Linked DNA regions of Astyanax mexicanus. The protein of the gene in region 1 purifies or fractionates together with the protein of each later gene. This does not show direct contact. Links are inferred from orthologs where the notes say so. Each region holds a gene or a part of one and is shown in the gene's direction. Other genes may lie near its edges.

Region 1 (7,722 bases):
GATGCGCTGGAGGGTCCTGCGGCAGGATGCTGTGCAGGCCCCGTACCACACGGTGAAACAGCTGGTCAGTATGCTCTCGATGGCCCCTCTGTAGAAGGGGGTCATGATGGGGGTGGGGGCTCCAGCTCTTCTCAGCTTGCGGAGAAAGTAGAGACGCTGATTTGCCTTCCTGGCCAGTGACGCTGAGTTGGTGCTCCAGGAGAGGTCCTCAAAGATTGTTGTGTTTGCACCAGGAGGCCAGGCGGCTCACCTCGATCCTGTAGTGTGACTCATCGTTGTTGCTGATGAGACCCAACACCGTCGTGTCATCCGCAAACTTGACAGAGGTTGGAGGTGTGTGCTGGTGTGCAATCGTGGGTCAGCAGAGTGAACAGAAGGGGGCTCAGCACACATCCTTGGGGAGCCCCTGTGTTCAGTGTGGTGATGCTGGATGTGCTGCTGCCAACCCGCACTGCCTGTGGTCTTCCAGTCAGGAAGTCTAACAGCCAGCTGCACAGTGAAGTGCTCAGCCCCAGACTGTCCAGTTTGTCTATGAGCTGTTGGGGGACGATTGTGTTGAATGCTGAGCTGAAGTCAACAAACAGCATTCTGACGTAGGTGTTCTTCTTGTCTAGGTGTGTGAGGGCAGTGAACAGTGGAGATGGCATCATTGGTCGAGCGATTTGACCGATAAGCAAACTGGTAGGGGTCCAGGGAGGGGGGGAGCAAAGACTTGATGTGATGCATGACTAGTCGTTCGAAGCACTTCATGAGGATGGGGGTGAGTGCAACTGGACGAAAGTCATTGAAACATGATGGCGATGCCTTCTTTGGGAACGGGATGATGGTGGTGGCTTTGAAGCATGTGGGAACCACCGCCTGACTCAGAGAGGTGTTATAAATGTCAGTATAAACCTCTGCGAGTTCCCAGGCACAGTCTCTCAGCACACGGCCAGGAATGTTGTCAGGCCCAGGAGCTTTCCGAGCATTGATCCTGCTGAATGCTCTCCTCACACTGTCTGGGGACAGCGTCAGCACCTGGTCACCAGGAGGAAGGATGGATTTCTGGGCGGGTGTGTTGTTGAGTGGCTCGAACCTTGCGAAGAACCCATTCAGGTCGTTCAGCAGAGATGTGTCGCTGTCGCAGGTCTGTGGATGTGGTTTATAGCCTGTGATAGACTGGATACCCTGCCACAGGTTCTGTGTGTCTCTGCTGTCACTGAAGTGTTGGGAAATCTTCTTTGAGTACAAAGGTGTAAGGTATTAGGTGTAAAAAACGCTATATAAATAGATTTTCCTAATAAAATTTCCTCCAACAGTCCAGAGTTAAAAGTGGATTGATAAGTGTGATGAGCAAAGTAGAAGAAAACAGAGATAAATGTAGAAGCTGAGAAGTAAAAAAAAGCAAAGAAACAAAGCTAGCATCAAGGCAAGACAGAGCAGACCAGAGTGGCAGAGCACAGAAACTCCACCCAGAAAGGGAGTTGAACCCAAGACCCCAACACTGGGAGTAAAACATTTTAAACACTAAGCCACTATGCCACACTAATCTCTGACCGTTTCTCAATCTGCATTCTTGTCTGTGCTTGTGTTCTTTTCTTGTGGACTCGTGAAATGTCATCAGTCGCAGCCCAAGTACTGTTCCAATTAAAAGATCGCAGTTAGCCAAGTACACAACAAATACTCGGATGTGTTCTTGCTCCTACCACTCTATCTAGGATGCATGGAAGGTGACTTGTTAGCACTTCTCACAGCCCGATATCCCAGAATGCACCTCGCAGGAGTATCAGCGTATTGGCGGAGGAGAAGGTACATAACTGAAAGCACCTCTACGTTTTTAAAATAGTACTGCTGTGTGCTAAATAATGTTTTAAGTTATTTTTAGGTGAGAATGTAGGGGTTTAGATTTGTATGTAGATATGTAGTTTATTTATTAAGAAAGCTGCGAGGTGAAAATTTGCTCCTACATTTTTGGAACAACGCTTTCCGCTCCTCTAAGGGTTGACGTCATCAAGTACACAGCTGTTCCAATTACACAACAACCGTCCTGCTTCCTCCTGTCCTCGAAAGTACGCACTTGCGAGTTGATCTTCCAAAGTCTGTACTTGCCAAGTACGGGAGTCCAGACTTGTGTACTTGTGCATTGAGAAACTGCTTCTGCCTACCGAGGGCTGAGACACTCGATCTGACTGGTGGTCAGCCACTTGCTAGACTTACATTGGATTTTTCATCAGGCACATCAAACATAAAGTACAAAATACGTAATAATAAGAGACCTGATAAAAATAAACAAGGTCAGATTTAATTGACAGAACATTTCCGCACCCTGAGTCATCATGCTGTTCACTGCTGCCCTGCTGTTTCTGGACTGGGAGAACCAAAACGGATTTTTACTTAAACTGAGGAATCGTGACTCTTCTTCGTCCCCTCAGACACCTGCTATATCACTCAGTGACGCAGACTGATCTGAGCACAACCAAATCATACTCTCTCTCTCTTTTTCACACACACATGCATGAATAACACCCTGTATTGCAATTAAAGAACATGTTATATACTAAATTGCTTTAGAGATCAATTTGCAGCTGTCTCAAAGCCCACTGACACTCATTAAGTATCACTCAAGGGCTAAACTGTGACTTACTAACCATAAATCCTGTGCTGGTCCACAGGGTTATTCATGGTTTTTCTGACCTGTTGTAGATCAACCTCTTCTGTGGTTGCTGTTAAAACAAGGTAACTGATTACATAGTAATACTGTGTGTGAGCCTGAAGGAACAACAGTGCAGAGTTGAGATGTGGCTCTTCGGAAAGGCCATTCTAAAAGCTTAATATTAAAGTCTGATTAATTCTCTCCACAACCACTTTTCATGTGTGTTTGGGATAATAGTATTGTTGAAACATCCAATTGTATCCTGTTTCCACCAGTCTAGCTGATAATCTAAGGTTATTCAGAAGAACCTGGAGGTAGTCCTCTTTCTTCAAAATTCCATACACTTTTAAATTAGCAGCACAGCTGTCCCAAAGAAAGGTGCCACATCACCATGCTTATTCTACTTATTCAAACCCATTTCCTTTTACCTGAGGGGGATAAACAGCTTTTTTGAGACCCAGACAAAGTGGCCAGCTGTTAGCATTGCAGCTAACTCACGCCAGCCTGGTTGCTAGGTAGGTGTATTTATATTTTTTACTTTTAATCTTGTGTTGATTAGAAAACTCACATAATTCAAACATGTGCACCAAAGTATGTTTTTATTATTAAAGATATTGTACACGTATTGTGTGCCAGAGCAATAACAGTTGCAAGTATTCCTTAAAAATGCTCACCATTGCTGTGACATCCATGTTCAGTGATTGTACCAGTCAAAAGTTTTGGTACACATTTGTATTTAATGTTTTTATTTTTTTCTTAGGTCATCCAGATAAAGGAACACATAAATAATCATGTAGTAAACTTGTAGAAAAAAAACAAAATACTCTGCTATCTGATGGTTATTCTTGGTCTTCCTTTTCTTGAGCGATCCTAATGATAGCCAGTTTCATTAAGCTGTTAAGTGAAAGCCATTCCAGGTGACTACCTCAAAAAGCTACCCAGCTGACATTTCAACATTGAATCCATGTTGATGTTGAATCATGGTGTTGATATGGTGTTGATTTTGCAAAGTGAATCAATGTTGATATGGCAACGTTGTTTCAACGTCATATGTTCAACCTTAGATAAACCATAGCTCACATTCGGGATGCTCAAAGTTGTATGAAAGGGAAAAAAACTGTATGCCATGATGAAAAATTAACAATTTTATTTTTATTCTCCCTCTCTCTGGATATACATCTATGAGAAGTAGCAATTACTACAAGTAGCTAAAACTAGAAAATCATATTGTTAACAGTGTTCACAATAAACTTACATCACTGTGCTAAAGCTGGGTATAAAAGAATGTTTACCAATCTGATTCAACATTTAATCTCAAAAACACAACAGTAAAACAAATAGAACATGAACATACCTCCAAATACGGTGAATAATTGGTGGCAAATTAAAAAGCAATTACTGCAAATGTAAGTAAAAACACTTTTTCATCCCTATATTTAACCATTTTTTAAAACTGTATGCTGATTAAATGAAAAATGTTAATTGAAAAGGCAGAAGGTTGAGGACATTATGTTAAGTCAACGTTAAAAATTCAACATTTGCACTACCATTTAACGTCTGTTGAAGCAACAACAGACATTTCTTCCACCATATTTCAACCTCAGTGCCAGCTAGGTCACTGAGAAAATGCCAAGATGTGCAAAGCTGTCATCTAAGCAAAAGGTTCTAGTTTGCAAGATCTAAAATACAAAACATATTCTGGTTTGTTTGACATTTCATTGTTTACTAGATAATTCCAGATGTTTTACTTCATAGTTTTAGTGACTTTACTATAAATCTACAATGCAGAACATTTTAAAATACAGAAAAAAACACTGAATTTAATGCGTGTCCAAACTTTTGGGTGGTAACGTTACTGTACCTGTTGAGGAGATATTGATCAGTTAGTTAGCTATCACCGGTTGTGTGAAGAAGAGAAAAGTAACAGGAGTAGAATGTGTTTCTGGTCGCTGTGTGGATCTGTAGATATATAAATCATGTGTTTAGGAATATCTGATTTATATAATATGCGCTATCACCGTGAGGCTCGTGTTGAGATCAGCGGGACTGCGGCGGACGCTGTGATTGGCCGCACTCGCAGCGCGAGTATCACGGGAAAGCAAGATGTCCGCGTGCGTTTGAAAATGTGTGTTTACTGGTTTGCTGCAGTTTAGCGGTGGTTTTAGACAGTTTGCGCCCTGTGCTTCACTCTCCGCGCGCTGCAACGGCGGGAGACCCGGCTGGAGAAGAGGAGGGAGCTCAGAGAGAGGAGCCGGACTGTTGTTTATTAGCGGGCTTGCTGAAGAAAATGGTTTGGTAGCTCCGCTGCTAATGCTAGCTTAGCTTAGCTTAGCCTAGCCCAACTTAGCCTAGCCCGCTGCCGCTGTGAGGCCGGGCGCGTAGAGCCGCTGAGGTCCGCCGCTGCTGTTTTAATGTCTGTGGGAGAAATAATGCTGATACTGGGAACTCATGTCGAACGTGTATGAAGAGAGAGCCGCAATGATAGCCGCCGGGGAACTGCAGCCGTTTGTCCCGTTCGGTCGTGAGCACTGCAAGAACCACCCGAACGCCGTGAACCTCCAGCTGCGCCAGCTGCAGCCCGCCTCAGAGCTCTGGTCCTCGGATGGAGCGGCCGGACTCGTGGGGTCCCTCCAGGAGGTCAGCCTCCAGGAGCGCCAGAAGGTACACTACAGTAGGCTGTACACTAAAGTACAGTACACAACACTGCGCTGGAGTACACTGTGTTACACTAAAGTATAGTACACAACACTGCGCTGGAGTACACTACATTACAATAAAGTACAGTACACAACACTGCGCTGGAGTACACTGTGTTACGCTAAAGTACAGTACACAACACTACATTGGAGTACACTATATTACACTAAAGTACAGTACACAACACTGCGCTGGAGTAGACTACATTACACTAAAGTATAGTACACAACACTGCGCTGGAGTACACTGTGTTTCACTAAAGTACAGTACACAACACTGCGCTGGAGTACACTACATTACACTAAAGTATAGTACACAACACTGCGCTGGAGTACACTGTGTTACACTAAAGTACAGTACACAACACTGCGCTGGAGTACACTACATTACACTAAAGTACAGTACACAACACTGCTGGAGTACACTACATTACACTAAAGTACAGTACACAACACTGCGCTGGAGTACACTACATTACACTGAAGTACAGTACACAACACTGTGCTGGAGTACACTACATTACACTGAAGTACAGTACACAACACTGTGCTGGAGTACACTATATTACACTAAAGTACAGTACACAACACTGCACTGGAGTACACTATATTACACTAAAGTACAGTACACAACACTGCACTGGAGTACACTACATTACACTAAAGTATAGTACACAACACTGTGCTGGAGTACACTACATTACACTAAAGTACAGTACACAACACTGTGCTGAAATACACTGCATTACACTAAAGGACAGTACGCTACCTTACATTACACTAAAGAACAGTACACCACTGCACCACAGACAACTTTAATACTCTAAGCACACTACATTACACATATTGCTTAACGACACTGCACTACAGTACAGTGCACTTTACTACACTACAGTACTACAGTACAGTAAACTATGCAGATTGCCTAACTACAGTAGACTACAGTACACTGCACTACACTACAGAGTACACTACATTACAGAGCAGCATGCAGGTTGTTTAACTACACTACAGTAGACAAAGTACACTGCACTAGACTACAGTACAGTACGCTACAGTAAAGTACTCAATATGCTTGAGTGGACTACGTTACATTAATGACAGAATTGTATACAGTATACATGAGGGGAATTTAGAACCGGTATGCATTTTTCACATGCCGCCATGCCGCTAGAGGCGCTGCAGGGTGCTGTGTAGAACAGTGCCGGCAAAAAAGCACCCTAGCAGAGCTCGCTAGCTAGGGCTAACCATTTAGCATAACAAGCTAACACCGCTCAGTGAGGTCGCACACTGTCCTGACTGGAGCTTCTGCTGTTGCTGATTACAATATGAGTAACTTAAGCCCTGTTTAAATATATTAATACTGTAACTTGAAGGATAAAAATGCACAGTGAACTGAAAGTAGAAGTAAAATTGTGATAAACTAATAAGCAGCTGCTTAAATACTTTAATGCCTCTAATGGCTTTTATATAATAATATAGTTTTATTTGATATTAAACTTGTGTATAACTATATATTATAATATATATATATATATATATATATTATTATTATTATTATTATTATATATTATAACTATATATAATAATAATATAAAAACGTGATATATTGTAAAACCATCAAAATCTTGCAAAATACTTTGATGTGCATTTTAGCAGGGGTGAAATTTGGACAGTATCCATTGTTTTAAAATTTTCTTTACTTTTCAGGAATCTTGGCAGCTTAGGAAGGGTTCCACCATCACAACTGATGAAGCTGAATATGAAGAGGAGCTGTACGTGGCAGGACATATGGTTATCTGGAGTCGGGGGAGCAAGAGTCAAGCATCCAATGTGTATAAAGCTTTTACAGTGGACAGTCTAGTGCAGCAGGTATTGCCAATATTCATAGACTTTTTTGAGTAATTTCCCTTATAATAAGAGCAATAAATAGCAAGAATAATACAAGAACAATAGTAATAATAATAAGCATCTTTCTTAATTAAAACAATATTTGCAAAGATTACAGAGAAGAAGAAATAAAATCAAATTGAAATAGCTAGCAGCTAATAAACTGTTATTAGCAGTTAAGATATAAAATTGCTATATAGTCATGCTTTAAATACAGTGGTATGAAAAAGTTTGGGCACCCCTGATACTTTTCATTATATTCATTAGCAATTTCAGTTAAATATGTCATATAGCAGATAAACACAGTGAAATTTGAAAGGTGAAATGAAGGATTTGCAGAAAGTGTGCAATATATATATATATATATATATATATATATACACACGTGTATGTATATATATATATATATATATATATACGTATATATATATATATATATATATATATATATATATATATATATATATATATATATATATATACACCCACGTGTGTATATATATA
Region 2 (6,921 bases), on another chromosome or scaffold:
ATCCTCCTCCTCAGGGTTCAAGACCCTCATCTGGGTGGAGACCCTCATCTGGGTGGAGACCCTCATCTGGGTGGAGACCTCCTCTTCTGCGTCGAGGTCCTCCTCCTCCTTTGGGTCGAGATCCTCCTCCTCCTCTGGGTCGAGATCCTCCTCCTCCTCTGGGTCGAGAACCTCCTCCTCCTCCGGGTCGAGAACCTCCTCCTCCTCTGGGTCGAGAACCTCCTCCTCCTCCTCTGGGTCGAGAACCTCCTCCTCCTCCTCTGGGTCGAGAACCTCCTCCTCCTCTGGGTCGAGAACCTCCTCCTCCTCTGGGTCGAGAACCTCCTCCTCCTCTGGGTCGAGAACCTCCTCTGCCTCCGGGTCGAGATCTTCCTCCTCTGGGTCGAGAACCTCCTCTGTTAACAAGATTTATGTTGGACGTTTTAATGAGGAACTCGATGCGATAAGACTTCTTCATCTGGACATGCTGTTATGACTCTTTTCTCAGGCTCTGTGGACACACTGTCTCTAGAGCGCCCCCTGCCTGTGACACAGTGACATCAGTTTCTGTGGAAATAAATGGCTTTGAATTGTGAAGACGTCAAAAACAAGAAGTTTGAACAATAAACGTGGAGTTTTTTATACATGGAACAATACGTGGAAAACAATGCACATGGACGACTGTTTACTAAGAACTTTAGAAGTTTAGAAGGAGTGTTTTTATGAGTGTTTGTTTATTTACAGTCGCTGTTTTCACAGCTTTCAGCATTTGGCACTAGGTCTTGGTATCTGCAGGCAGTGGTTGTTACTTATTGTTATTATTATTAATAATAGTACTATTATTATTATTATTATGAACCAAATGCTTTCGATCATTTCAACCAGTTTAGCACTTTCCTGGGATTTTAACCAGGGCCTTTTCCTTATCATGGAGATTTCTGTTGCCCCTGTTGCTGAGATAACACCAGTTACCTGGACTGGTTTACCTGGATTACGCTGGTTTGCTGGTTTTGTCCTCTTTCTCTTGTCATTCTTCCTGTTCAATGTTGTGTGTATGAATGACCCATTGATGAAACACACCTCCAACCAAGTCTTCCAACCGTATTTATTAAAATTGCTTTTTTCAGGAAAAAGATTGTGTTTTTGAGTCGGTCCTCTGATGTAAAGTGTGTAGTTTAATGCCATTAAATATCCATCATAGCAAATGTACTGTAGAAACACATTCATATGATTGACTGTTTTATAAAGCTCTGGAAAAAATGAAGAGACCACTTTAGTTTCTGAATCAGTTTTTTTTAATGCATCTTGGCATCATGTTCTCCTCCACCAGTCTTACACACTGCTTTTGGATAACTTTATGCTGCTTTACTCCTGGTGTAAAAATTCAAGCAGTTCAGTTTGGTGGTTTGATGGTTTGTGATCATCCATCTTCCTCTTGATTATATTCCAGAGGTTTTTAATTTAGTAAAATCAAAGAAACTCATCATTTTAAGTGCTCTCTTCATTTTTTCCAGAGCTGTATATGTTGTATATGTATGTTACACTTCTGAAGTCCATTTTTTGTTATTTAACTACAACAGAGCTCACACACAACCTGATACCAAGTGCCTAAAGCTGTTGAACTGGTGGCGTGATTTGTGTTCTTTATTTTTATATAATATAAGTCTTCTCCTTTTGTTTATTGTGGTGGTGTTTTTTATACGGATTTTATATTAAGGACACTTTCGGAGAGATTTATTCTCCCTTTCTCTAAACGGTATGAAAGTGCTGGGATTAAATAGTGGTTACAACAAATAAATAAAAATGACCTAAGTAAGGTCTGAGTCTGAAACTAAATGAATAAAAGAATCGGTACAATGGCAGGAGACTAATTTGTTACTAGAAATGATGTTACAGTGCTGGTTTCCTTTCAAACAGGGCTTAGGCTTAGTCCTGAACTATATACAGCTTTGTAAAAAATAAAATAAAAATAAGAGAGCACTTAAAAATGATGAGTTTCTTTGATTTTACCAAATTGAAAACCTCTGGAATATAATCAAGAGGAAGATGGATGATCACAAACCACCAAACCACCAAACTGAACTGCTTGAAGCAGTGTGTAAGACTGGTGGAGGAGAAGAAGGAGAACATGATGCCAAGATGCATACAAAAAAACAATGTTCATTTTACTCAAACATAAACCTATAAATAGTAAAATCAGAGAAACTGATTCAGAAACTGATGTGATCTCTTCATTTTTTACAGAGCTTTATATTTTTCTGGTTAATGGAAAAAATTCATTCAAATGCTGTGTAGTTCAAGGTCCCAGTAAATAATCAATGCAACTGATGCACTATATGTTTAAAATTGTTGGGACACCTGTTTGTTTTATTGTTTTTACCTGAATCGAGGGTATTAAAATTTAGTTTATACTGCTTTTGCTGGACTAACTGTCTCGGGAAGACGTTCTAATTTGATGGATGATCACCACCATATGTCTGACTATATGATATCACAATAATAATACATTGTCCACAATAACAATGATTTCACAATACTGTGTTTCTGCGATACTCAGTACATTGCAATACAATTCTCTATGATACTTCACAGCATCTGTGTTACTGAATAGGAAAAAATACTCCTAAAAATAAGTAAATACCGGGAATTATGGATTTTTTGGTGTTTCAGTTTCACAGAATTTCACAACCAGTATTCTTCACACAGGATTATTAACCCTATTCATTTGATTATAGCTCCACCATGTGGAATTAAGAAGTAATGATGACTTTAGGAACTGGAGGGGGCAAGTGAAAGTAAAAATAAAAAAGTGTTCATTTAAGTTAGTGTGTGTGTGGTGTAGTGGATAACACCACCACCTGCCAATGAGCTACCATGTGGAAGACTCGGGTTCAATTCCAGGTTTGGGTAACTGAATGCTGCGCTACACTAATGGGAGTCTTGCCCAAGGACTCTTATTGGCCCAAATCCGTAATAGAATTAACCTTGTTAAGCTCTATCCGGATGGGATTAGTTTCTCAGGGGGACGTCTGTGAAAAATATTTCAAAACTCCTGCACCTGTACTGCAATTGAAAAAACAGGAGGATCAGTGAGTTTTTAGGCTAAATTACCCAGAACCTCCTGAGAAACTAATTCCGTCCAGATAGGGCTTAAGTCGCTCTAGATAAGAGCATCAGCTAAATGCCATAAATGTAATGTATTATACATGTAATAAGTTTCGATAAAAAAAAAATATTTTTCTGCAAATATTTGAAATATTTGACCTCACATATTCATATTGTATCCTTTTTAAAAATTATATAAATGAAAGCATGGCTGAAAAGAAGGAGTAAACAGAGTTTATACTGCCGGCTGGAGGTGAGTACACACATACACAGCTCTGGAAAATATAAGAGAGCACTTATAAATGATGAGTTTCTTTGATTTTACCAAATTAAAAACCTCTGGAATAAAATCAAGAGGAAGATGGATGATCACAAACCATCAAACCACCAAACTGAACTGCTTGAATTTTTACACCAGGAGTAAAGCAGCATAAAGTTATCCAAAAGCAGTGTGTAAGACTGGTGGAGGAGAACATGATGCCAAGATGTATGATTTAAAAACTGATTAAAAACCACCACGGTTATTCCACCAAATATTGATTTCTGAACTCTTAAAACTTTATGAATATGAACTTGTTTTCTTTGCATTATTTTTTTTATGTCCGCAAATAAATGCTCTAAATTACAATATTTTTACTGATTCAGAAACGGAAGTGAAGGGGTCTCAATGTATCATTATTATTATTATTATTATTATTATTATTATTATTATTAATAATAATATTATAAACACGTGCAATAAGCTATGAGCTACATGTAAATAAATAATGTAAGTTATATTAAACACTGGGCTACCAGACTGTGGGGACTTTTATTTTGAAATGTAACTGCGCAACACTTCCCTTCCATTTTGAAATTGTCGCTTTTGATCTGCGTTGTGTTTCTCAGCGCTGCGGATTAAACTCTGATTATTTCTGATCAGTTTTATCAGTTTTATCAGTTAATCAGCTGAAGATGAGTGTTATTGATTATGTTCGGGACATGGCGGCCGCCGGCCTTTACTCTAATGTCCGGATCCTGAGCAGCCTTCTGCTGACCATGAGCTCCAACAACCCGTGAGTACAAATACCCAAATACCTAAATAATATTAATATCACCTTAATCTAACTAACTAACTAACTAAATAAATAACTAATTAACTAACTATACTAAATAAATAACTAACCTGCTGCTGACCATGAGCGCCAACAACCCGTGAGTACAAATACCCAAATATCTATCTAAATTACAAAATAACTCAATAACTAAATACATAAATACCTACATAACTAAGTATATAACTAACTAACTAACTAACTAACCTGCTGCTGACCATGAGCTCCAACATCCCGTGAGTACAAATTACCAAATACCTCAATAAATAACTAAATACTTAAATAACTAAATTAAATACCTAAATATCTGCTGACCATGAGCTCCAACAACCCGAAAGTCTGAACTTACCTTAAACTAAATAACTAACTACATAACTAACTAACTAACTAACTACATAACCCATGGGTGTTACCTCACCTCAACCTAAATAACTAACTAAATACATACCTAAATAACCAGATACCCGAATACTAATCTACCTGTTCATCACCTGTTATGTAGTACACCAGTGACGACTTTCTTCTTCAGGACATTTTAAACTGTTGTTCTGACTATGTCTGATATTTGTGTGATGGTTCTTAATTTGTGTTTCTTCATCTTCTCTCAGCTTCATAGTTGGTAGTTTTTCACCCATATAGACAATCTCTGTTTTGTGTTTGAAACTGAATGTAGATATTCAGGTATCAGAACACGGTTCTGTTTTCTGAACTGTATCAGATCTAGATGTAAATATCTGTAAATGTAATATAATAAAATGTAATGTTCTTGTTCCTACAGGGAGCTCTTTTCTCCGGCTCAGAAGTATCAGCTGCTGGTGTATCACGCTGATTCCATCTTCCATGATAAGGAGTACAGAAACGCAGCCTGCAAATACAACATGGCCCTGCAGCAGAAGAAAGTGCTGAGCAAAGCCTCTAAAGTGAGACCGTCCAGCAGCGGCGGCTCGTCCTCCGTACAGACTCAGGTCAGACCTCAGCTCCCGTAGTGATGTAATGATACACTGCTTTATTTAACATACTGAGACTTTTTTATATTGAGTATCTGATAAAATTAAGGAAAAGGACATTTTTGGTTTCAAAATTCTATACCAAAAGGCCACCAAACTAAATGTCTGATGCTTGTATGTGTGTGATGTACCCGTCTACTCTTGCCTGATTGGTTAGATCCAATGTGGCCGCTATTGCTCATTTGAATAAAGTTGATCTCTATGAAAAGTGAAAATGAACCTGATGTAAGAATATAAAAAAAAAATAAAAAAAAGAAAAGTACAGTTAAAAAAAGGAGGCTTTAATGGAAAAAAAATATTTTATAGATTATGATATACACCTAAAAATGAAAATATAGAACTGACAAAGTGTGTCCATTATTTTTTGTAAAAAAAAAAAAAAAAAAAAAAAGTACTCCGGTGCTCCTGTTTCAGGCTGTTTTAGTTCAGTGGAGGAGTGGGCGAGGAAGAAAGGTAGCATTTTCAGCTTTTATTTATGAGTATATTCATTCCATGCAAATGCCTTGCCTCTGATTGGCTAACAAGGCCATGAATCCTTAGTTACAGGTTGATGTCAGTCCGGGGGCTTTTCCCAATTCACTTGTTTTTCTATTTGTTTGTTTTTTTTTAATCGGTTAATGCAGACAATAAGAGTAGAAGAACAGTTTCATGTTTAACTCAGTGACCTACTGTATTTTAAAAAAGATCAATTACTACGTGCTTTCTAGTGAAATTAAATCTTTAAGTATTTAATGTGTTTATTAATATTTTACAGAATTTGCCCTCAGAGATTGAGGTGAAGTATAAGATAGCGGAGTGCTACACCATTCTGAAGCTGGATAAAGACGCTATCTCCGTGCTGGATGGGATTCCCTCCAGGCAGAGAACCCCCAAGGTGTCTTCTCTTTCTATTGATCTCTGATTGGTTGTTTTTTTGTGAGAGTGATTTCTATTTGTATATTTAATCTGATCCCAACAGATTAACATGATGCTGGCGAATCTGTACCGGAAGGCGGGTCAGGAGCGCTCAGCTGTTACGAGCTACAAGGAGGTTCTGCGTCAGTGTCCTCTCGCTCTCGATGCCATTATTGGTGAGTAATATTGCTAATAAAATATTAACACTAATTTATACAAATTTAAGCCAAAAAAATGGATTGATTTTGAGAAATGTTACTAAGAAAAGTTTGCGTCTCTGTGCTTCTCTCTCTGCTTCTTTCTTTGTCTCTCTGTTCATCTTTATTTGTGTCTCTCTTTGCGTCTCTCTGTTTGTCTCTCTCTTTTCGTCTCTCTCTTCATCTTCCTTTGCTTCTCTCTGTGTTCCTGTCTCTGTGCTTCTGTTTGTCTCTCTGTTCGTCTCTCTGTTCGTCATTATTTGCGTCTTTCTGTTTGTCTCTGTGCGTCTCTCTGTTTGTCTCTGTGCGTCTCTCTGTTTGTCTCTGTGCGTCTTTCTGTTTGTCTCTGTGCATCTCTCTGTTTGTCTCTATGCTTCACTCTGTTTTTCTCTGTGTGTCTCTCTGTTTGTCTCTGTGCGTCTCTCTGTTTGTCTCTATGCGTCTCTCTGTTTGTCTCTATGCTTCACTCTGTTTGTCTCTGTGCGTCTCTCTGTTTGTCTCTGTGCGTCTCTCTGTTTGTCTCTCATTATTTGCATCTTTCTGTGTGACTCTGTTAATCTGTTCGTCTTTCTTTGTGTCTCTATGTGCGTCTCTCTCTGTTTGTCTCTCTCTGTGCGTCTCTGTGCTTGTCTCTGTGTTTGCAGG
Region 3 (7,758 bases), on another chromosome or scaffold:
GAAGAAACATTTGATTAACTAATTAGATGGAGAATTAAATTAAAGAGACAGCCAGTGCACAGGCAAACTAGACTCAATTGTAATGATTGATAGTAGTATTGATGCACTGTGAACTCACCTCTCTCGTCTCTCAGCAGGGCCCTCGCCAAACAGTGTAATCGGTTCTCCCAGAGCACGCAGGCAAGCTTTGACTTCAGCATCATCAGTAGAGACTGTAATCTGCCGGGCTCTTTTTCTGCGCTCAAATTCAGCCAAGACCTCCGCCTGCCTCTCATTCACACGATCCTCGATCTCCAATGACTCACCTGGAAAATAAACCCACAAATTGCACTTATTGGAAATAAGATGAGAATGAATAAACAGACAGAAAACTGGAAAAGCATTACTGACTTCATATACCATTTGACATATTTCTCAAATATATACATGTTAGTATATATTTAGATATTATCATATCTAAGCAACACCAACTGATTATTTTCCTTAGGTAAAAAAGAACTATCATAGGAAACCAGACAAATATAATTTAAACCTAACAGGACATATTTGTGAATGAAATTCCATAGAATTTTACCTAAGTTGCCAACATGTCATTTTAATATCATATGGCAACATTACTTAATAATGAAGTTTTTGAACAAAACCAGAAAACCAGAAAGACCTTCTGACTGCGTTATAGCAACACTGTAAGAAAGCAGACAGCACTGTGTGTTTGCTGTAGGGCTGGCCCGAATAGCGTTTTTTGAGCTCCGGATATTCGGCACTGATTCGAAGCGAATATTCGAATATTCGTTTTTAAAAAAAGAGGTAAAAAAAATAAAAATAAAAAAAGCAAATCACGGCCCCTTTAATCCACTGAAAAATGTTCAATTTGCTCTGACTGACGAGACATATTCACCCCGGATTTTTGGTGTTTTTATCCCGGATTTTTGTGTTTTCACCCCATATTTTTTCTGTGTTTTTAGCCCAGATTTCTTTGTGTTTTCATCCCGGAATTTCTGCTGCCCCACACCGCGGCTTATCCGCTGCGTAAGCAGGCTAGGAGGCTGCTGCTGCACGGTTTCTCCGCTGCGCAAGCCAGCCCAGTAAATTGCTGTTTGTGTTTTCACACTTAGGCTATTTGCTTAAAAAAACAAACAAAAAAAACGTTTGTTCAGGAAGTATTTTATATTCTTAAACATTGTTAATTATATTAGAGGACAGTCATTGTAAACTGTACTTGGTCTATTTCGGTTAAAGGATTGTGCAGGGCATATTACTGATTTTGTATTTTTGCACTTGGGCTATAAGCTCAATATTAAATATTTCGTTTGTTTAGAAATTATTTTATATTTTTAAACCATGTTAAATTATATTAGAGTAGAGGAAAGTCATTGTTAATGACGTTATTGTACTTGGTCTATTTCGGTTTAAGCATTGTGCAGGGCATATTACTGATTTTGTATTTTTGCACTTGGGCTATAAGCTCAATATTAAATATTTCGTTTGCTTAGAAATTATTTTATATTTTTAAACCATTTTAAATTATATTAGATAAGAGGAAATTCGTTCAGACATCATTTTTGTAGGCCAGGCTTTTGTAACCGATTTAGCCCCTACTGTTGCCACATTACCCCTTACGTTTTATTATATAAATCAGTTTCGAAGAGCCTGCATTTTTTTTTATCATGTATAATAGAGGTCTGTGCGAGACTGATTTTTAAACCCACTCTTCCACGCTCCCGCGTTTCTGTCTCGTTACCGCTCCGCAAAAAAATTGCTTCTTTTAATCCCGCGCCCGCCCGCCACATACACATTTCTGCCGCTCCCGCCCCACGTTCCTAATATAAATTAAATAAACTACATTTAATGCTTAAAATTTACTTTATTTATTAATTTGCTCCCGCATCGTCTGGATTAAACTCCCGCTCCAGCCAATAACAGTTCAGTTCTGTCCCGCGCGCAAGATATTCTGACGGGACCCGCGAGAACAGAAGTGGTTAGAGTGAGGTGGAACTCTGGAAAGGAGGAAAAAAACGAATATCCGAATACCAAAATTAAAAACCGAATACCTACTCAACGAACGAATATCCGAATACCCGAATATTCGGGTCCAGCCCTAGTTTGCTGGGCAGAAGATTTTCTAGTGTTTTATTTGTTTTACACACACACACACACGTACAAAAGAATGTTCACATTTCCATATATATATACATAAAAAGTGAATATTAACTACACAAAATAGTTACACAGAAAACTAACAAACAAAGAAATAATAATCTAGTGTGTCCTAGACACCTCATCACCTCTATTCAATCCTGATTTTCCCTTGCACAACTTCCTCCACTGTTCAATTTAATAGTTAGGATTTACTGTCTTTAATATTAGTTAGATAATGTTTTGTTCACTCGTTTTTTAAACTGTGTTTTGCTATCAGTTTTAGTTAATGATTCTGGTAAATAATTCCACTCTTTAATAGCTCTATAAATTACTGTTTTGCACATGTAGTTAGTTTTAGCTTTTGGTAATCTGAAATAATGTTTGGTTGAATATCTGTGGTATTGGTTTCTCTCTCTATTACTTGCTCTAATTGATGATAAAAATCCACTGGATGTTGTTGCTCTTGTGTATTCTTTATGAATCTCATACCTTTTAAACTATAAAACATTTTACCACAGTGTCTCCATCTTAAAACATTATAGTGAGTTAATGAGTTACATTTAAATAAATATTTTCAAGCAGCTCTGCAAGGTCTTACCACTGGAGATGTTAATATTTCCAGCCTCAATTCCAGCTTTAATAGCATCTTTCCCAGAGCCTGAGGATCCCTCACGGCCAAGACGCTCCCTCTCCTTTTCTTCAAGACTTCCATAGAAGATCCGAGACCTTTTTACCAGAGGGGCTTCATCTTCATCAGACATCTTTCAAGGGGCTCAACTGAGTTCAGCACCACCTGTTTGAAAGAAAAAAGGTTTTAAAAGGTTTAAACTGGGTTTAACTTACAGGGGCTCCATAAGAATGAATGTTCTATTTTATGCCAACCATCAATATTCACTAACTAGCAGCTCTGCGCTTGCGCTGATTCACTTTTTCCATTTTTATTGTGTTTCATGATAATTCTGTTTTCCATTGGTGTTATACAATCTAAACTCACTCTTATTGTTTAAGTGTTAATTGAGATTTTAATATAAATTATGAAAAAACTATGTCATTATCCTATATATTTACAGTGATCCAAACATCTATCCACATATCCTACCTAGACTTGTCGACTACTTGTCTTACCAGCTGTTCTATATAAGCAGCTTTATTAACAGAGTTAAATACTCTTTATAACGTATTGGAGCACCCAATCACATTAAACAATAAATAAGTATTATAAATAACTATACAGTAGTAATATATTTAATAATTATCAAAATAGTTATAGAGAATATGAATAATCTTAACAGAATAAAGTATTTTAGATAAATAAATGCCCTATCTTACAGGGACTAAACAAATTGGCAATGCACAAAGAATGAATATGAAAATGAAGTCTAATGTCCATCAGGTGTTTATGTTTATATGTGCAATGTTTTACAAAATAAATGTTTTTTTTTATATATTGGATAAACAACCTAAGCTCGCTCACTATAATAATAATAATAATAACAATAACAATAATAATAATAATAATAATTAACAACTAAAATTTTATTGTCTTGAATCTTCCTTGATACAGTGATTTAGGCTACCACAATAACTACTTTACCTACACTGCCGGCTGCATGTTCTAACATGGTGCTTTTTGTATTTTTACCTTTAAATAAACCCTAGAGTAGCACGTTTTTACAAGATAGCACAACTCAAACGAACACAGGCGCTACAGCTACAGTAACGTTACTAAAAAGGCACCAGTGCAGACAATTCAAGACCAAATCAGCACCAACCTGCCCGAGAAAACACTTTAATCCAGCTGTTTTTGAGTTTACGAGCCCTTCTACTGAAACTACACAGCGTCCAGGAAACGAAGAGGCTTTTTACAGCTTATTTAAATCAGAATCTGAAGTAAAGTTGTGGTTCATAGTCCCACACTGCCCACTCCGACACAACCACCACGATCTGAGCGGCGCGCAGGAACTCGTCACAGCTTTGAACGGAGAAAAGCAGCGCTGCTCGCCGCAGCGACATCTACCTACCGGAGACTGGATCTGGAGGACTGAAGCGGGGATTTTATAAATATGTTTTCAGCTTTCAGATCTCAAATATGGCAAAGAAAACAAGTTTATAAGGTTTTAAGTTTAGAAATCAATAGCGGATGGAAAACCCCGAAAATCTTATAATTTTAATAAATAAAATTTAAATAATTTAAATAAATATTATATAAAAAAAAATCTTGGCATGTTCTTCTTCACCAGTCTTACACACTGATTTTGGATAACTTTATGTCACTGCTGGTGCTAAATTGCAAGCCGTTCAGCTTGGTTTGATGGCTTTTTAAGTGGTCTTTTATTATGCCAAAATGCATGAAAACTGTGATTAAAAACTTTTTATTTCTAAACTCTTAAAACTTTATTATTATGAACATCTTTGCATTATTTTGCATTATATAATAATATTATTATTAATAATAATAATAATAATAATAATAATAATAATAATAATAATAATAATAATAGTAGGAAAATAAAAATGTTAAAAGGAAAATAAAAATGTTAATGTAATGTTATTATATTCTAGCCTTTATGGAAAAAAAAATACAAAACGGAACTACATTTCCCAGAAACCCTTAGCTAGAGTAGTTACCAACTTCCGGCAGACAAGGCAACAACCGCCAACTTGCTTGCTTGGCGTTAAATGTATATATCGATATTTATACTCTAAATTCGATATTAAGTCGGGGCTGTTCTCGACACTGCTAACGCTAGCTATATAACAGCTATAGATCCAGTAGTAAACGCCTTTATGGGTAAATAACGTGCTGTTAGAAACACAGCAGCATTATCATACTGGACCTGTTTACTATATTAAGCTAGCTTTAACTTAGCTCTTTAAAAAGTCATTTCTCCATAATATTTTGTTGAAAATGACGTTTTTTCTGCTGTCTCGGTGACAGCTTATAACCAGCGCTGTGCTGAACCGTGGTTTTACAGCGGAAACAGCTGTGAAATATCGATAAACAGTGTATTTCAGTTCTATACATAGCTGTTAACTGCAGTATTAGCTACCCAGCCTCCTAAAATCATGCTTCGCCGAAAACCAACACGACTGGAGCTGAAGCTGGACGATACCGAGGAGTTTGAAGGAGTGAAGAAGGAGCTTGAGGTCAGTTAATCAACTCTATTAATTAATTAAAGGTCTCATTCCATCGTTTTTTAATAAATTGTAAAATGTCTGGTTGTGGCCTATAGTATGAATGAATGCCACGTGAGCTGGTTTTGAGAAAAAAAGTGCTCCGGTGATCTGTTATAACCATGCTTTAGTCCTGTGGAGGCGCTGAACGGAGAAACGATAGGATTTTATGAATATTCATACATGCAAACATATCGCCTTTAATTGGCTAACAGCACTGCGAGACCAGGAGGCGGACAACAGTTAGAAACGTTTTAAAATAAAAACATTTTTACTCTAATAACAGTCTTTGCAATGTCATATGTTACTTTACAACATGTATAATGCCGTGCTAAGTGCAGTTCAGCCACTGACCCACCAGAGAGCCTATGTAAACCTACGTAAACAAACAGAGGTGGGTAGTCCAGGTCCAGAAAGTAACAATCCACCCCGCAGCAGAGAGGAAGTTGAAGCAAGTGTAAACAGAACTGTTATAAAAATACACCTACCTATCTCAATTGTACTTTGCTGGTAATGTTCCATAGACAAATTCTAACCATTTGTTCCTTAGCTCTGAATTACTGGGCAAAGCATATAACACTGATGTGATATTTGCACAAATAACACAGGAACAAACTGCAATGCTGTTTCTAGCTCTGTTACGTCCTATCTGACGAGATTGATGTAGACATGGGTGCTTTTCCTGATCGACTCGTTTTTCTGAATATTTTCTTTTATTAGCTACTACAGATGGAGGTTGAGGAAGAGTTTCTTGTGCAGCATGCATATACAACTCAGAGAGACCTATTGTATTTCACCAAAAACTAGAAAAAGTGGATTTTAGAGGAAGGAGACCTAACCTAACCTAACTATTTGAAATTGCTGGTTTGGAAAAAAACTTTATATTATTATTATATATGAATCTGATACACACTTCAGAAGATAGCACATTTTGTCTGAACCTACCCATTTTTCTTTTCATCCTGAGAGGGTATAAATATGTGTTCGTCCATTGGCCTAATGCTGGACATAAAAGTAACACATTCTAAAAGTTTTTTTTTGCTTCTACAGCTCTGTTTTAACAGTTTAAGAATAAAAATGCTTTAAAGTTTTTTACATTCCATATCACTAGTTCTGGCCTGGTTTCTAGAACAAACTGTCAAAACTGCAGGTTATGAAATTGTTGGCGTCATTTACGTTAAATCAATGTTTTAGCCCTAAAATATTTACATATATATGATATGATCTGGATATATATAATAATATTAAAAATATCAGCTGAGATAACTACTATAAAATTTGGCATAAACCATTCTGAAAATCCCTGATAGCAAAAACAATCATTAAATAAACATTTATTTAACATTGCCTAAAGGGCTAATCGGATAATGTTGAAATTCTGACAATGAAATTTTATGTAAATCAATAGAAACACATGACTAGTCAAAATTACACTTGGATTTGTTGACCTGATATGACTAGTCAGAATGTCTGGATTTATAGGATATGTCTGGATATATAACACAACTAAAATGTTGGTAGGACTTGTGGCATTTTAAGCTAAAATGATTTGTGATAAATGTCTGTCTCAGATACTGTAAAGTCACTTTACATTATTTATTTTTTTATTTTTTATCGTTTTTAGAGTCGGAAGAAACAGCGAGATGAAGTGGATGTGGTTGGAGTTCCAACATCAAGTGAGATGAGCGGTGCTTCAGGAGGTGCTGAGGGCAAGACCAGAGAGCAGATGATCCACGAGCGAATCGGATACAAACCTCACCCAAAGCCAAACACTCTACCATCATTATTTGGAAACCTTCAGTTTTGAGCGGAGGACTGTGTAAAGTGTGCAACAGTGCCATTATGACTTTAAAGTAACCTGTTTTGCTATGGGCTGAGAAGAGGATCAAAGTCATAACCACTGCATTTTAAGGACTAACCAGGCAAAGTTGTTTCCTTGCTTATTTTTGCAAGCATTCTCTTATTTGTTAGAGATCAATAAAATCTCCCTCTATTTTCTAAAATGTCATCTGCTTTTTTTTATTTTTTTTTTTTATAAAACTTAAAAGTACACATAATCTGTTCTGATCTATCAGGCTTTTTCATATCTTAATCTATTCTGATTTATCAGGTTTTAAATACAAGACAGGGAATCAGAAGTCACATCATGCTTTTAATCACATTTCATTATCATTTATATAATTAATTACAGTACTGTATTTCAGACTATGCAGGTATGTTTGACCTGTAAACATTATAACATTGATTCTACACTTGAGACAAACAGATTTATACCAGATACTGTTCTGATTACATTACTTTAGAATATCCCAGTTATTCGATGATGATGTAAACATAGGTTTAGTCACTTCTATTCAGTCTTTATCTGCTTACTGACACATATTAATAACCACACTCTTAAAACGAAAGGCGCTTCAAATGATTTTGTGCATTGGTTTAAGAAAA
Region 4 (6,977 bases), on another chromosome or scaffold:
TTTATATTAGTGGGAATTTGTAAAATAAAAATAAAGTATATTAAGGAAATGTATTAATTTTAACATAAATCACAGTCGCACCACATGACATTTTGTAAGGCCAAGGCCAATTCTAAATGAAAATACACTAAAATCACTCAATCTAAAATTTTAATATGAGTTGGTGTTCACAACATTTAAAATTTTGGAACAATTGCAACAGATATTACAGATATACTTATTGTTAGAATTTTAAAATTGGCATGTTGAAAATCCTTATACATCATTGACCCATATATAAATTTTTACAGACATTTTAATCTCATTTGAACCATAGTGCTAAGGCCTCACTTATAAAACTCTGTGTAAATTTTGAAGAGAATGTGTGCGCATGCACAAAAAACAGGAAATGGCATGTGTATGTATACCTGAGCGCTGTTTCCTCTTTGTAAATTATAAATGTGCGCAGGTGACCCAGTCTCATGTTCTGCCTCTATACCGCCCACATTTACCAATAAAAGGTCCATGCAAATCCTTCAATGAATATTTAAAGTGGGATTTCCCATTCATACTGAGTGGGACAATAGCAAGATTTTGGAGACTGTAAAGTAGAAGTCCTTGTGTCGGAGGTCGAGGTGGGGAAGAATGTGTTAATTGATGCTTTTAGCCAACATGTAGCTGCAGCAGTTAATAATGTAGCTCAACAAGCCAAACTATTAGAGAGGTTAGAAGAAAGTGTTCAGATACAAAAATGCTGCTTCACCTGCACATATTTTCCAATAGTTGTAAAAAAAACCTGTAAATGTACATTTATTCCATGATCCATTGGTCTCTATAAATCTGTGCCCAACTTAGCACACAGTTCCTCGAGAATGGCTCCTTGAAACCTAAATCGGCTCTTTAATCAGCAATCATCATTCACAAAAAAATCTATTTGTAGAGCTGTTATTTTTTTTGCAATTAGGTACAGCTGTTTATGCTCGTAATTATCTGCAACTGCAACCCAAAACATTTTTCTCTTTCTTTATTATGGATTATAATTTGTTATAATAATAATAAAATTGTGATAATAATAATTATAATAGTAATAATACATTTGAATACTGATACTTTAGATACATCTCCTTTGAATTTTAAAATTGTGAGATAAAACAAAACAGATAATACAAATAAAATTGAAATACATTACAGCGTGAAATACACAAGTTAGTGCAAAAAATAATACTTCATATAAAGCAGAATAAGATACAGCAAACATTGAAACATTATACATGCAGACAAAAATATATTTAAACAAATATGGGTTAATCCTGCTTAATCTTTCGTTCTTAGTCTTGATTTATGCGGTATGAACTTAGTATGCATGAGGGTAGTTTGCGCATTTACTTGCTATTTACTTACCACATGATGTCACTAATTCCCGCTCTCTTTGCAATCTTCTAAAGGAATACGGACGCCTTAAACCTTGCTGAAATGTACGCTCGTTTTCACGGCAAGTATTTCTTTATAAATCACAGCAAGCGTGAGATGTTGTGCACGCACATTTAATATCACGTGATGTATTATAAATGTATTAGAGATCAGGGGCCTCATGTACTAAAGGTGCGTACGCACAAAAACATTGCGTACGCCATATTTCACGCTCACGGTCTGATGTACTAAATTTGACTTGAACGTGTGAAAGTGCGTTCCCCCACGGAAGTTTTGTTTTGGGCGTACGCCTTTTTTTTGTGCGTATGTATTGTGTTTTTGTCATTTGGCGACACTTAGAGGCGATGCATTGAAATTACAACTATTAAGATATCCTTTATGCACACATTGAAGTAAGCATTATTGGGTAAAATAAAGTAAATTAATCAGACAGTTTCATTGTCTTACAGAAATAATCGTTTAACGTGTTTCCACTTAGCCTAGATCAGGTTTGCGCTGGAGTTGTTGGAGATGCAGCGTTGGCATTACTGGAAAATACTGCTAATGGCCGAATTCATTGAGCGCGCATTTTCCGTGATCATTATGTTTTTTTGGCCCATGATGATGACTGGCTTATAAGCAGTTTTAGATTTCCAAGAGCATAAGAAAACAAGCTGAGTACGTGACGTGTGTCTTTTTGGTAGGCAACTCATTTAAAGCATTTAAATGAAAGCATTTATCTTAGAATAATAAAACTTAAAACATGGGTAATTATACGCTATGCGTATATAATATTATTATTATTATTATTATTATTAATAATAATATTATTATTAATAATAATAATAATAATAATAATAATAATAATAATAATAATAATAATATAACATTATACTCTGCGTAATTGAGGGAGGAGTCGTGGCAAGTGTGCTGCTTTCGTGCATTTGCGCTTGATTTCAAGTTGATTGTGATGTACTAAGAGAAAGTACGTGGAATTCTGCCTACGCACGGTTTGATAAATCATTTATCAAACCGTGCGTAGGCAGAATCCCACGTACGCAAGTGTCGCAAGACGCGTAGCGTAATAACTAATAATTACCCATGTTTTAAATGTATCATTCTAGGATGGATAATAAATGCTTTCATTTAAATGAGTTGCTCACCAAGAAGCCACCCATCACGCACTCAGCTTGTTTTCTTATCCTCTTATGCTCTTGGAAATCTGAAACGGTTTATAAGTCAGAAATGGTCACGAAAAATGCGCTCTCAATGAATTCGGCCATTAGCAATATTTTCCAATAATGCCAACGCTGCCATCTCCAACAACTCCAGCGCAACATTTTATGCATGTTTATATAATCTAGGCTAAGTGGAAACACGTTAAACGATTATTTCAGTAAGTGAATGAAATTGTCTGATTTAATTTATTTTATTTTACCCAAATAATGCTTAATACAATGTGTGCATAAAGGATGTCTTAATAGTTGTAATTTCAGTGCATCGCCTCTAAGTGTCGCCAAATGACAAAAACACAATACATACGCACAAAAAAATATTATTTATTATTATTTAATTTATTTTGTCTATTATTTTTTTTAACCTTTAATTAATAATAATTGTGGTGTTCGTTTAGTCCTCTATTTCTTTAATTGTGTTTATATTATTTTATTATATTTTTTATGTATCTCTTTAGCCTCTCTGCATATCCTTTATTCTGAGTTTATTTTATTTCTTCTTAATTGAAACTTACATTGTTTTCTTGTTTTATAATTTAAACTTATTTTTCAGTCCCTTTAAATTTGTAAATGCTTGGCTGCATTAAAAATGAGGGTTAGCCTTAATGTATGACAGAGTGGAAAAAAATGTTGATTGATTGATTGATAGATGGAATACATGCCAGTGTGCAGTATGATATTAGAAATTCAATGGGCTGCCATCGGCTTTCACACGCTGTGTAAATATATAGTACAGAGCTATTTACTTTTTTGTTTTCTTAATGTTTACCCCCTCCGATTGTTCCCTACTTACAAAACTTGTCAACATTGTGTTTGTTTTATATTTTCTAGCACAAGTGTCACAAATGTGTGAATCAAACCCAACTATTTGTACATGATTCTGGATGATTTTCCATGATATTTAAAATAAAGGCAAATTATTATTTTGACAGCCACATCCGATTTCTGCACTAATTTATACATTATATGGTTAATAAAATACATGAAACAATATACAGAATATAAGACAAAAGAAAAAATATATATTGACATTATTTTCACTTAATTAATATGTTTAGTGTTTGGGCACATGACTAATTGGCAATTAAGGAATTAAAACATTAACGTTACTTTTACTTCTAATATACTTCTAAAAAGATTATTAACCATTTAACTCAAAACATTTGATTTAAGTATTAAGACTATTTTGTTACTTATTTATTTTATTTTAATTGCATAAGTGCAACTTATCCGGGCTTTACAATACTGGAAGGCACTCATTAGAAGGTGTGTCCACAAACATTTGGACATGTGTATTAATGGCATGCATAGGAGCTCGTTGTTTTCCGGCAGTTCTCGGCTCTTTCCGTGGCAGGCGAGTTTGAATCGGCGGTGTTCGGTGGCCGATAACGGTCAGTGCTGTTCAAATCTGACGCTGTTAGCATTTAGCTTCTCCCCGGCTAACATACAGAGACCGGAGCGGAGAGGGAGCGCGGAGGGGCAGTCCAGGAGGCCGGCCAAAGCGACGGAATGACGGTGTTGCAGGAACCTGTACAGGTATTCAGCCACAGATTTAGGCCGCTGTGTGTAACCCGGAGCGGCGGGGAGAGTTTCACCCATAAGCCAAACTCACAACTTTACTCGGGGTGATTTTGAGCTCCTGGCTTCGGCCTGTTCGGCGCTCTGCTCCTCAAACCGCAGGGCTGTTCTCTGTCTGACAGGATTCTAAACAAACGCACCCCTGAATCCTACAGGGTGGAACAGACGGGATATTACCGTGATTTAAACACCTGAAATGCAGAGTATTTTAACGCTAAACCTGCTGTTTTCGGTCTCTCTGGTGCTGGAAAGCGGGGCTAAAGTTAGCCTGTATGCTAGCGGGTTCGTTCTTTCCTCTTGGTTAGCTAACGTTAGCTTAGGTTAGCTGGCTAGTTACCCCTCAGAGCTCTCGGGTCTGCTGTCTGTATAATTATTGCTAAAGATTGTGTTTAAGTTATGAAGTTTACTGACGAGCGTCTGGCCGTTTACAAGTTGTCAGGATCGGCCGCTGCGTGCAGTGTTAGTAGCTAGGAGTATCCCATGTTAGCAAGGCGAGCTAGCCTGTTATTTAGCTAGCTAGTAATGTTACTGTGTTTAATCACCTAGCTCACAAATTACTCTTTACTGCTGGGATTTGTCATGCTCCTTTCTCGTATAGCTGTCATGTCACCTAAATAAACAAGAGCCACTGTATAGTTAATAATGCCGGGCTATCCGCAGAGCTGCTTACCTACTATAACAGTTCATATTGTCTTCATGTCTGTTACCTACCCAGTTAGTCCTCCAGCTGCTCAGTTTATTAGCTCAGCTTGCGTATGTGTCTTAACGTTTATTTTAAATGTTAGGTGAATGGTTTAAAACCAGCTACACCATATTAGATGAGCACATGCATTTAACATAACCTGGAGATACTTATTAGTCCGTTGCTATTTTTTTACGTGTTTCTAGTTAGCTAGTTGCACATCAGCTGAGACGTTGCGCTTCACTATCTCTGGCAGCCCCTTATTTGATTTTCTTTTCAGGGTATATGTAATTAAACTCTTTAATACCTCGGTCCCAGCTGCCACTTAGCAACTGGCACTACTTCATCTTACTGATATTGTGCCATTTTAGCTTGTTTTTTTACCACTGTCAAATAAATAAACATAATAAATAATTGTGGGCTGCATTTTAATATAAAATCCTGACACCTTTTTATCGACAAATTTCTTTGTTTAAAAAAAAAAAAATCAGTCTGTGTTGCTGCCAAGTCACAGTCTTGTTTATTTTGTTTATGCCTGTTAATCAATACCCCCAGCTGCCAGTTTGGCTTTTATGTGCACCTTAAAACAGAGCAAATATTACGTAAATATTTTAACCATACTTGTGCATCTAAAAAATAGACTATTATTGAAAAGTTACTTTATTCCAGTAATTTAGCTCACAATGTGAAACTCATATTACACAGATGCATTACTCAAAGTGCTCTATTTTAAGCGTTTATTTATTTTATTGTTGATGATTATGGCTTGCAGCCAAAATAAAATTTTAATGATAAGTCCTATTGGAAAATAAAATCCTCATATCCATAAAAGTTGTCAGCAGAGGGAAGCGAGCTGTAAGATTTTCTGGAAAAACACTGCACTGACTTTGGAATTGATATAACCTAATGGATCAACACCAGTAGATGACGTGACTCTCCAAACCATCACTGACTGTGAAAACTTTACACGAGACCTCAAGCAGCTTGCACTGTGTGCTCCTCCACTCTTCCTCCAGACTCTTGTCCATTGATTTCAAAATGAAATGCAAAATTTACGGATGGTCAGTGATGGTTTGGAGTGACTCTCTGGTCCAAATGTTTGTGTAAAAAGGTTAGTCTGGACCAACAAGGTGGATGTCAAAGCACTGATAGTCTCTGACCCTATTAGACCCTATCTCTAAACCTATAGTTTACTAGGTTAGATGTTCGCAAATGCTTGCTAGGTTGATGTTCTAGTCCACTGTCTTTGTAAATGTTATCTCTAATTTAAGAGACCTAGGTCTAGTAGATCTGGGACACTTAGAAACTAACGTTTGCCATGTCTTAAGCTGACACTATGCCATTCCGTCACCACTGGGATTTCAGTAAAACTAACATTGATTTGGCGTGCAGTTTGGTTTCATATAATCCACAACCTCTTGCTTTGACCTTTTGTAATATATTTATGTCTGCTGTGTTGTTTGTCTATAGGCTGCTGTCTGGCACGCTTTAAACCACTATGCCTACAGAGATGCTGTATTTCTGGCAGAGAGGCTCTATGCTGAAGGTAGGGTTCAAAATCTTTTCAATGATGACACATAATCAGTAGTACTAAACATTAATTTCCATTATGTCCTGTAGATCATACACCAGTGTTACTGTCTTGTTAATCTTTTGCTTAAAAAAAGAAAAAAAAATAACATGGAAATATATAATATAATCTGTATAGCCAAGATTGGAGTAGTTTTGTTTGTATCAAGCATCTCCTAGAGCGTGACTCAATTGCGATAACATTGTTGAAATTAGCTATAACGTACATTCTCCTGTTTTTCTCCTAATTTAGCTTGGCCAATTGTTCCACTACTCAGCTATATATCCCACATCACAAGTGATTCCAAAACACAAATAGGGTGAAGACTAGCAGACATCTCCAACACGTGAAGTCATCCATCGCCTCTTTTCTAACTGCTGCTAATGTAGCATTGCCGGTGGTCGACTACACATGTGTTTGAGGAGGCGTGTGCTAGCTACATGACCGGGATTCAAACCAGCAATCTCCCAATCATAGTGGCAGCGCTTTAGACCGCTGGAACACTTGGCGACCCTAAAGGGAA

What was found.
Region 2: the proteins of anapc1 (region 1) and anapc7 fractionate together in Homo sapiens (co-fractionation; 6 studies listed by BioGRID and IntAct, with this or other methods). This does not show direct contact. The link is inferred for Astyanax mexicanus from reciprocal best matches to the Homo sapiens genes ANAPC1 and ANAPC7.
Region 3: the proteins of anapc1 (region 1) and cdc26 purify together in Homo sapiens (co-immunoprecipitation; 6 studies listed by BioGRID and IntAct, with this or other methods). This does not show direct contact. The link is inferred for Astyanax mexicanus from reciprocal best matches to the Homo sapiens genes ANAPC1 and CDC26.
Region 4: the proteins of anapc1 (region 1) and cdc27 purify together in Homo sapiens (affinity purification with mass spectrometry; 16 studies listed by BioGRID and IntAct, with this or other methods). This does not show direct contact. The link is inferred for Astyanax mexicanus from reciprocal best matches to the Homo sapiens genes ANAPC1 and CDC27.

What each region holds. Positions count from the first base shown.
Region 1 is NC_064414.1:12,395,344-12,403,065, forward strand, and holds the start of anapc1 (anaphase-promoting complex subunit 1), read left to right. Parts: upstream 1-4,709; 5' UTR 4,710-5,080; coding exon 5,081-5,293; intron 5,294-7,038; coding exon 7,039-7,200; intron 7,201-7,722. UniProt on the Homo sapiens protein: Component of the anaphase promoting complex/cyclosome (APC/C), a cell cycle-regulated E3 ubiquitin ligase that controls progression through mitosis and the G1 phase of the cell cycle.
Region 2 is NC_064419.1:1,302,023-1,308,943, reverse strand, and holds the start of anapc7 (anaphase-promoting complex subunit 7), read left to right. Parts: upstream 1-3,920; 5' UTR 3,921-4,038; coding exon 4,039-4,139; intron 4,140-4,956; coding exon 4,957-5,143; intron 5,144-5,939; coding exon 5,940-6,059; intron 6,060-6,143; coding exon 6,144-6,255; intron 6,256-6,920; coding exon 6,921-6,921. Other genes in the region: proline-rich protein HaeIII subfamily 1-like, read left to right, coding at 1-171, 274-446. UniProt on the Homo sapiens protein: Component of the anaphase promoting complex/cyclosome (APC/C), a cell cycle-regulated E3 ubiquitin ligase that controls progression through mitosis and the G1 phase of the cell cycle.
Region 3 is NC_064408.1:18,604,782-18,612,539, reverse strand, and holds cdc26 (anaphase-promoting complex subunit CDC26), read left to right. Parts: upstream 1-4,752; 5' UTR 4,753-5,205; coding exon 5,206-5,286; intron 5,287-6,937; coding exon 6,938-7,120; 3' UTR 7,121-7,316; downstream 7,317-7,758. Other genes in the region: prpf4 (U4/U6 small nuclear ribonucleoprotein Prp4), read right to left, coding at 119-305, 2,738-2,900. UniProt on the Homo sapiens protein: Component of the anaphase promoting complex/cyclosome (APC/C), a cell cycle-regulated E3 ubiquitin ligase that controls progression through mitosis and the G1 phase of the cell cycle.
Region 4 is NC_064410.1:15,205,337-15,212,313, reverse strand, and holds the start of cdc27 (cell division cycle protein 27 homolog), read left to right. Parts: upstream 1-3,977; 5' UTR 3,978-4,133; coding exon 4,134-4,160; intron 4,161-6,354; coding exon 6,355-6,430; intron 6,431-6,977. UniProt on the Homo sapiens protein: Component of the anaphase promoting complex/cyclosome (APC/C), a cell cycle-regulated E3 ubiquitin ligase that controls progression through mitosis and the G1 phase of the cell cycle.